Linked DNA regions of Sus scrofa. The protein of the gene in region 1 binds, or shares a complex with, the protein of each later gene. Links are inferred from orthologs where the notes say so. Each region holds a gene or a part of one and is shown on either strand. Other genes may lie near its edges.

Evidence for each region.
Region 2: the proteins of TNKS2 (region 1) and SH3BP2 are in contact, whole or in part, in a crystal structure (PDB 3TWR), measured with the Homo sapiens proteins. The link is inferred for Sus scrofa from reciprocal best matches to the Homo sapiens genes TNKS2 and SH3BP2. Residues at the interface, in NP_079511.1 of Homo sapiens: Arg525, Ser527, His531, Phe532, Gly535, Tyr536, Asn537, Arg538, Leu560, Asn565, Ser568, Tyr569, His571, Asp589, Trp591, Phe593, Glu598, Lys604; in NP_001116153.1 of Homo sapiens: Leu413, Gln414, Arg415, Ser416, Pro417, Pro418, Asp419, Gly420, Gln421, Ser422, Arg424.

Annotation. Positions count from the first base shown.
Region 1 is NC_010456.5:103,437,671-103,441,478, forward strand, and holds part of TNKS2 (tankyrase-2), read left to right. Parts: intron 1-1,124; coding exon 1,125-1,290; intron 1,291-2,058; coding exon 2,059-2,278; intron 2,279-3,808. UniProt on the Homo sapiens protein: Poly-ADP-ribosyltransferase involved in various processes such as Wnt signaling pathway, telomere length and vesicle trafficking.
Region 2 is NC_010450.4:1,611,031-1,614,838, forward strand, and holds part of SH3BP2 (SH3 domain-binding protein 2), read left to right. Parts: intron 1-440; coding exon 441-558; intron 559-737; coding exon 738-808; intron 809-1,605; coding exon 1,606-1,694; intron 1,695-1,906; coding exon 1,907-1,975; intron 1,976-3,568; coding exon 3,569-3,808. UniProt on the Homo sapiens protein: Binds differentially to the SH3 domains of certain proteins of signal transduction pathways. Binds to phosphatidylinositols; linking the hemopoietic tyrosine kinase fes to the cytoplasmic membrane in a phosphorylation dependent mechanism.

The DNA.
Region 1 (3,808 bases):
TCTAGATATTGAATATATAGATGTTATATTCTCTGCAGTGTTTTGTTTTTTGTTTGTTTGTTTGTTTTTGGCTGTGCCTGTGGCATGCAGAAGTTTCCGAGCCAAGGATTGAACCTGAGCCACATCAGTGACAATGCTGGATCCTTAACCTCTAGGCCAAGGAACTCCCTCTGAAATTTTTTTTTTCTTTTTACAGCCACACTTGGAGCTCAGCAGTTAATGAACCTAACTAGTATCCATGAGGATGCAGGTTCGATCCCTGGCCTTGCTCAATGGGTTAAGGATCTGGCATTGCTCTGAGCTGTGGCATAGGTTGTAGACGAGGCTCAGATCCTGTGTTGCTGTGGCTGAGCTGTAGGCTGGCAGCTATAGCTCCAGTTTGACCCCTAGCCTGGGAACCACCACATGCCACTGGTGAGGCCCTGAAAAGACCAAAAAAAAAAAAAAAAAATACAGCCACACCCGTGGCATGTGGAAGTTCCCAGGCTAGGGGTTGAATTAGAGCTGCTGCTCCTGGCCTGTGCCACAGCCACAGCAACTCTGGATCCTTAAGCTGATGAGTAAGACCAGGGATCGAACATGCATCCTCATAGACGCTATGTAGGGTTCTTAACCCCCTGAGCCACAATGGAAACTCCTCTGCAGTTTTAAATATTTTTAAAATTTCTTTCCTGCCTTTTCCTGCAAAGTTAATTCCATTTCTGCTTTAGATAAATGTTTTGGGTTCTATAAAATACAATCAGGAGTTCCCATCATGGCACAGTGGTTAACGAATCTGACTAGGAACCATGAGGTTGCAGGTTCGGTCCCTGGCCTCACTCAGTGGGTTAAGGATCCAGCATTACCGTGAGCTGTGGTGTAGGTTGCAGATGCGGCTCAGATCCTGAGTTGCTGTGACTCTGGAGTAGGCCGGTGGCTACCCCTCCTATTCAACCCCTAGCCCGGGAACCTCCACATGCCGAGGGAGCAGGCCTAGAAAAGGCAAAAAGACAAAAATTAATTAATTAATTAATTAAAATACAATCAGGAAAATGCCTTATGCAATTCAAGAAATTTATCAACTAAATGCAATTAAGTTAAAATATATTTTTGTGTTGTGTTACTTATTTAACTTTTCATTTCAGAGGCCTTGTACCTTTACACAATGCGTGTTCTTACGGACATTATGAAGTTGCAGAACTTCTTGTTAAGCATGGAGCAGTAGTTAATGTCGCTGACTTATGGAAATTTACACCCTTACATGAAGCTGCAGCGAAAGGAAAATATGAAATTTGCAAACTTCTGCTCCAGGTATATTTAAGAACTTACTGTGGACAGGACGCATTTTGTAGAATATGGTATTTCAATACCTCTGATGTAAACTTAAACCAGTAAGGGGATAAGAATCAAAGTTAGCCAATTCTGTACCTAGATTTCAGAATAAATATGAATACTCTAAGCCAGGTCTTTTGTTTTGGGGAAGGTGTTTTTTTTTTTTTTTTTTTTTTTTTTGGCCCCCACAGCATATGGAGTTCCCGGGCCAGAGATCAGATCTGAGCCACAGTTGCGACCTATGCTACAGCTGCAGCAATGCCAGATCCTTTAGCCCACTGTGTCAGGCTGGGGATTGAACTGCATCTTGGCACGGCAGAGATGCTGCCAATCCTTTTGCACCACATTAGGAACTCCTGTAAGCCAGATTTTTTTTTTTTTTTAAGCACTAATGAAATCAGTAGTACACTGATAGATCTATACTGGCACCATGTAGATATTTTACAATAAAAAGAAGTGTAGTTAAATTTATACTTTGTACAAACATTGAAATATGGTTGTAAAATCTAAAAATAGCATGTGCAAAAGGTCATTTCTAATGAAATACTACCTTGTTTTGAATGTAGTTTAAAGTTTTGACTATATTATTATAATTTTTTGCTTATTAAACTAAACATGAATAACAGTCACATTAATCTTTAAGGTGGAATCTCTGTTTAAAATATGGTATGGTTACATTGACTGTTTTCTCATTGACCAAGGGCAAAATTAAGCCAGTTCCCCCCTTTATGTTTTTCACATGCCCAGCATGGGGCAGACCCCACAAAGAAAAACAGGGATGGAAATACTCCTTTGGATCTTGTTAAAGACGGAGATACAGATATCCAGGATCTACTTAGGGGAGATGCAGCTTTGTTGGATGCTGCCAAGAAGGGTTGTTTAGCCAGAGTAAAGAAGTTGTCTTCACCAGATAATGTAAATTGCCGTGATACCCAAGGCCGACATTCGACACCTTTACATTTAGCGGGTAAGTCAGTGCAGTGTCACAGACTGAGGCTGGTGACCTCTATGCTTCGTTTTACCTGAGTAAAATGCTTCCTCTAAGTAAACTTGAATGATTCAAATCAAATATCCTCTAATACCACCATTATACTCTAGTACTAGCATGTTGTATTTAGTAAGAACAGTTGAAAGAGGCTCTGCCAGTCACTGTGTTTTGGAACATTTATTCTAGGTAATCATAATATTTGAATCATCTTTGATGAGTGTGTTTTGTCTCTCTCTTTTTTTTTTTTTTTTTTTTGCTATTTCTTGAACTGCTCCCACGGCATATGGAGGTTCCCAGGCTAGGGGTCGAAAAGGAGCTGTAGCCACCAGCCTATGCCAGAGCCACAGCAGTGTGGGATCCAAGCCACATCTGTGACCCACACCACAGCTCACGGCAACACCAGATCCTTAACCCACCGAGCAAGGCCAGGGACCGAACCCGCAACCTCATGGTTCCTAGTCGGATTTGTTAGCCACTGCGCCATGATGGGAACTCCTGATGAGTGTGTTTTGCCTACAGAAACTAAAAATATGCTTGCTTGAGCTGGCCTTCCTCTTGGGAAGCTTTCCATTCTTCTGATGATAGCTGTTAGGCACAAGCCAAGACTTTTCAGAAGTTACATAAACCTCTTGCCAAAGTTATTTGTTGTATTAGTTTGTTAGGCCTGCCTTAAATTACCACAGACTAGATGGCTTAGACAACAGAAATGAATTTTCTCACAGTTCTAGAGATGTTGGCAAGGATTGGTTTCTCCTGAGGTCTCTCTTCCTGGCTTGCAGGTGACCACCTGCTCCCTGTGTCCTCACGTGGCTTTTTCTCTACATATGTGCATACTGATGTCTCTCTGTCCTAAAAATCTTCCTTTTATAAAGACAACAGTGGGTTTAGAATAGAGCTGACCCTAATAGCCTTGCTTTTAGCTTAATTACCCCTTTGAAGGCCTTACCTCCAAACACAGTCACATTCTCAGGTACTAGTGCTTAGGGCTTCAACATAGGAAATTTGCTGAATACAGTTGAGTACATGACATTTGTTCTAAGTTTTCACTCACAAAATTGTCATAGTGTATGTCTTCCTTGCAGGTAGGCGTATTGTGATTTCAGTACAACTTTTTCAGCTGCATTGACGATACTAGGGAATGAGCCATTAAAATCACTGAGCTGCAGCTAATACTTAAGTGGAGTTGCAGTATAGGCATATTTGACTCATACAAGTTTATCTAAATACACATGGTTTAAAAAGAGAAAGGGGGAGTTCCCACTGTGGCATGGTAAGTTACGGACCTGGCATTGCTGCAGCTGTGGTGTAGGTCACAGCTGAGGCTCAGATTTCATCCTTGGCTCAGGAACCTAAATGTGCTGCAGGTTCTACCCTTTTGTGAAGTGTGGGAGACTGAAGTATACGCTTCTTACAGTTCCTTTTTAGTCTCCCACTGCACCTAGTGTTTAAGAAATTGTTTTAGTATATGTGGTTTATATCTTTAAAGTATGACCCCGTGTAAGTTGGGAC
Region 2 (3,808 bases), on another chromosome or scaffold:
CTGCACAGTAGACTTGGGGATCTTAATGAGAGCCCCATGCTTGCTGTGAGTCACTTCCTTGCCAGGGCAGCCAGGGCAGCCAGGGCAGGGCCGAGGCTGACACGGAGCCCCACGAACACCCCCAGCAGGCAGGCCAGGGACCCAAGGCGTCACACAGAGTGGCATTGGTGGGCAGTGAGGGTGGCATGTCCTCGTCTCAGGGCCTTGCACGTGCTGCTCCCTGGCAGCCCCCTGGACCCGCACGCTCTGCTCGCTGTGCCCCCTTTGCCCACACGCCTTCCTTGGCCTGAGGCACCAGGCGCTCAGCCCTCAGCAGCAGATCTCCCCGTGTCCCTCGGGGCACTGCGCTGGGTGCCAAGAGCGGTGCAGAGGCAGGGGCTGTGCTTAGGCCGTCCCTGTGGGTGGGGACCGGAGGGTGACCGCCGGTCCCCTGCCCTCAGGGTGATGCGGGCGGCGGAGGAGACGACGTCCAGCAACGTCTTTCCCTTCAAGATCGTCCACATCAGCAAGAAGCACCGCACGTGGTTCTTCTCGGCCTCCTCCGAGGAGGAGCGCAAGGTGATGGGGGGCCCGGGTTGCTCCGGGTCCCGGTCCTCGTGCCCAGAGCCTGGGGGCAGTGCCCTCGGAACCCGCTGGCTCAGGAGGACCCGTCTTCCCCGACCTTGGTGCAGGGGGGGGGCGAGGTTGGGGTCCTGCCGGGGGGCCTCCTGTCCACTGAGGCCCTGACCCACCCACAGAGCTGGATGGCCATGCTGCGCAGGGAGATCGGCCACTTCCACGAGAAGAAGGAGCTGCCACTGGATGCCAGGTGGGCCTGGGGTGAGATGGTGGGCGGGGTGTCCCCTTGACAGCTGTGCTCACCTCCCTGTCCAGGGGGCTTGGCCCAGAATCTCCGCCTTGAGGGCTTTTGTGGAGGTGCCAACTGGGTGTGTGTGTGTGTGTAGAAACAGAGCATGCAAGCACGTATCCCGTCGGTAGTTCCTGTTTGGGGGTACACCGCTTTCACCTGCCCACCCAGGAAGCCAGGCATTTGCAGAAGCTGAGACCTCTGGGTTCCTAGCCCCCTGACGCCCACCCCAGCTCCCTGGGGAGTGAGGCCAGATTGGGTCCCCAGGGTGGTAGCTCAGCCTGTCCCAGCCTCGTGGTGAAGTGGCTCTGCAGGTAGCAGGGGCTCTCTGGGCGGGAAGAGCATCCATCCTGTCCTTTCAGAGATGCGGGAGCGGGGCCTGGGTAGGGCTGGCATGCTGAGCCTGCCTCACGTCCCTGGCCTCAGCCCTCTGGGCTGGGGCCAGTGGGGATGGCACCATCTGGGCAGTCAGAGGGCACACTTGTGGCAGGAACCTCAGTGGGGAGGCAGGCACCCCAGCCTCCAGCCCTCTTGTTTGTCCTTGTGTGTTTTCCTGCGTCTCGATCTTCACACGTCCACACATCTCCATGTGTTCTCGTGATTATCCGTGCGTTTGTTCACGTCGTGTGTCCAGTTGTCTGCGTGCTCGTGCCTGTGTCTGTCTGCGTCTGTGTGTCTGTGTGTCCGAGTGCTTGTGTCGTACGGGTGAGTGCTCGACGCCCCCCGCCCGGGGTTCACCGCGCCCCTCCCGCCCTCAGCGACTCCAGCTCCGACACAGACAGCTTCTACGGTGCGATCGAGCGGCCCGTGGACATCAGCCTCTCTCCACACCCCACGGACACGGAAGGTGGGCCCAGCGCACAGCCTCTGCCTCACGTCCCTCTGCACCTGGCCCTGGCGGGGGCCGGCCGGGTCCTCCCTGGGCACGACCGGCTGTCCTCCCTGCTCTGTCCCTTGGGCTTCCCCAGGCAGCCTGGGTCCTGGGGGCCCATCCTGCCCACCTCATCCTTGCCCCCTGCCTCCCGCGGGCCCTGAGTCCGGCCTCCGTCTGTCCCACAGACTACGAGCACGACGACGAGGACGACTCGTACCTGGAGCCCGACTCCCCCGAGCCCGTGCAGCCTGAGGGTAGGCAGGGGTAGGCGGGGCCAGCCACAGGCTTGGGGTAGAAGGTGGGAACCGGGGCCTGGGGCAGAGCCCCCCAGGCTGGGAGTGTCACCTGGGTGCTGCGCAGGGGGCCTCAGGTATCACCGACCCAGTTTTCCTCCTGTGGCCCGAGTCTTGGGAGGAGCAGAGCAGAAGAGGCTTAAGGCTGTGGCTCTGCTCACCTGCTCCTCTGACCTCCAGTTAGCCCAGCAGTAGCCCAGGGCGGGGGAGGGTTGCTGAGCTGGGGAGGGAGGATAGCTCTGAGTGCCTCTGGGCCGGACTGTCGCTTGGCACCCCGCCCCACCCCCACCTCCCAAAGCACTTGGCCTGGCGGGGGCCAGGCGTTGAGCGGGCATCTCATACTAATATTGGCGTGCCCTCTGTCTCGTCGCTCCCTACTCCTGCCATCCCCTCACGGTCCTGTCCCTTCCACCTCCCTGGTCCTCCTCCCCCAGCCCAGCCTCTCCTCCCTCGCCCCAGCTCCTCTCCTCCCCTCCAACCTCATATTTCCAGGGATTTCTGAATGTCCCTCCACCCTCGGCCTCCTCTCCAGTGACCTTGTCCTCCGCCCACCTCGACCCCCTCGTGGCCTCCTCTTAGCTCTGCCTCCCCTCTCGAGTCCACCCGGGGCCTCAGCTCCCACAGGCCTTCAGCCCGCCAGCCCAGCCCAGAGCCCACGCGGTGCCCTCGTCCTGGGGTCTCTGTGCCCTCACGCCCCGCTCCACCCCTTCATCTCTCTGGCCTGTGACCCCAGCCCTGGTGAAGCCCCATCTCCATCTGCCCCACCCCTCGCTGGAGGGAGCACACAGGGGCTGTCTTATCTCCGCCCTGAACCTTAGGGGCCTGGCGCTCCTGCCTGCCAGCCTGCCTGCTCCAGGCATTCGGGCTCCCCACCCAGAGTGGCTTGTTGGCGTTCCCACCTTGGTGCTCAGTGCCCGTGGGCGGCACTTGACCAGGTGCCCTCTCTCTGCCACCACCTGCCTCACCAGCACCAGGCACTGTGTGCTTCAGGTCCCCTCCCGCCTCCTGCCCAGGCCTGTGCCGCCCACGTGCCCACACACACGACCGAAGGTCCCCCTGGCTCAGGACCACAGCTAGTGTGGATGGGCTGTTGGCCCTGCTGACATTGCCAGCCGGGACCTCTCTGAGCCCTGGGCCTGGGCTTCTCCAGTCTACGCTTCCTCCCCTGGCTGGGAGGAACTTGTCACGAGCAAACCCAACTCCCATCCTCCCCGCAGCCTGCTCCGCCCCTCCTCCTCCCTCTGAGGGGACATCCAGCCTCCCCAGCGGAGGCCTGATCCTGGGGGAGCTCCTTGCCTCTTTGCTCCCTGCCTCCCGCTCCTCCCACTTGGGAGCCTGATGGCTTCGGGAAGTTCGCACAGGCTGCCGTGTGGAGGGATGGACGGGGTGGGCCAGGAAGAGGGGAAGCCGCATCCAGAGCACGGGGTATTGGGCTGTAGGGTGGCCAGGTTGCATACCCACCTGGCTCTGGCCTTCCATGGTGGGCGGAGGTGGTGCTGGCCCAGCCTCCAGCAGGTGGTGCTTGCTCACCGCATGGGTCTCTTTGCTCTCCAGATGCCCTGATCCACCCGCCGGCCTACCCCCCGCCTCCTGTGCCCACACCCAGGAAGCCAGTTTTCTCCGATGTGCCCCGTGCCCACTCCTTCACCTCCAAGGGTCCGAGCCCTCTGCTGCCACCCCCACCCCCTAAGCGCGGTCTCCCAGATGCTTGCCCGCCCCCTGAGGACTCCAAGAGGGACCTGCTGGGCCTGAGGCGGGCCGAGCCTGGCCCTAGGGTGCCCCCTGCCTCCCGGA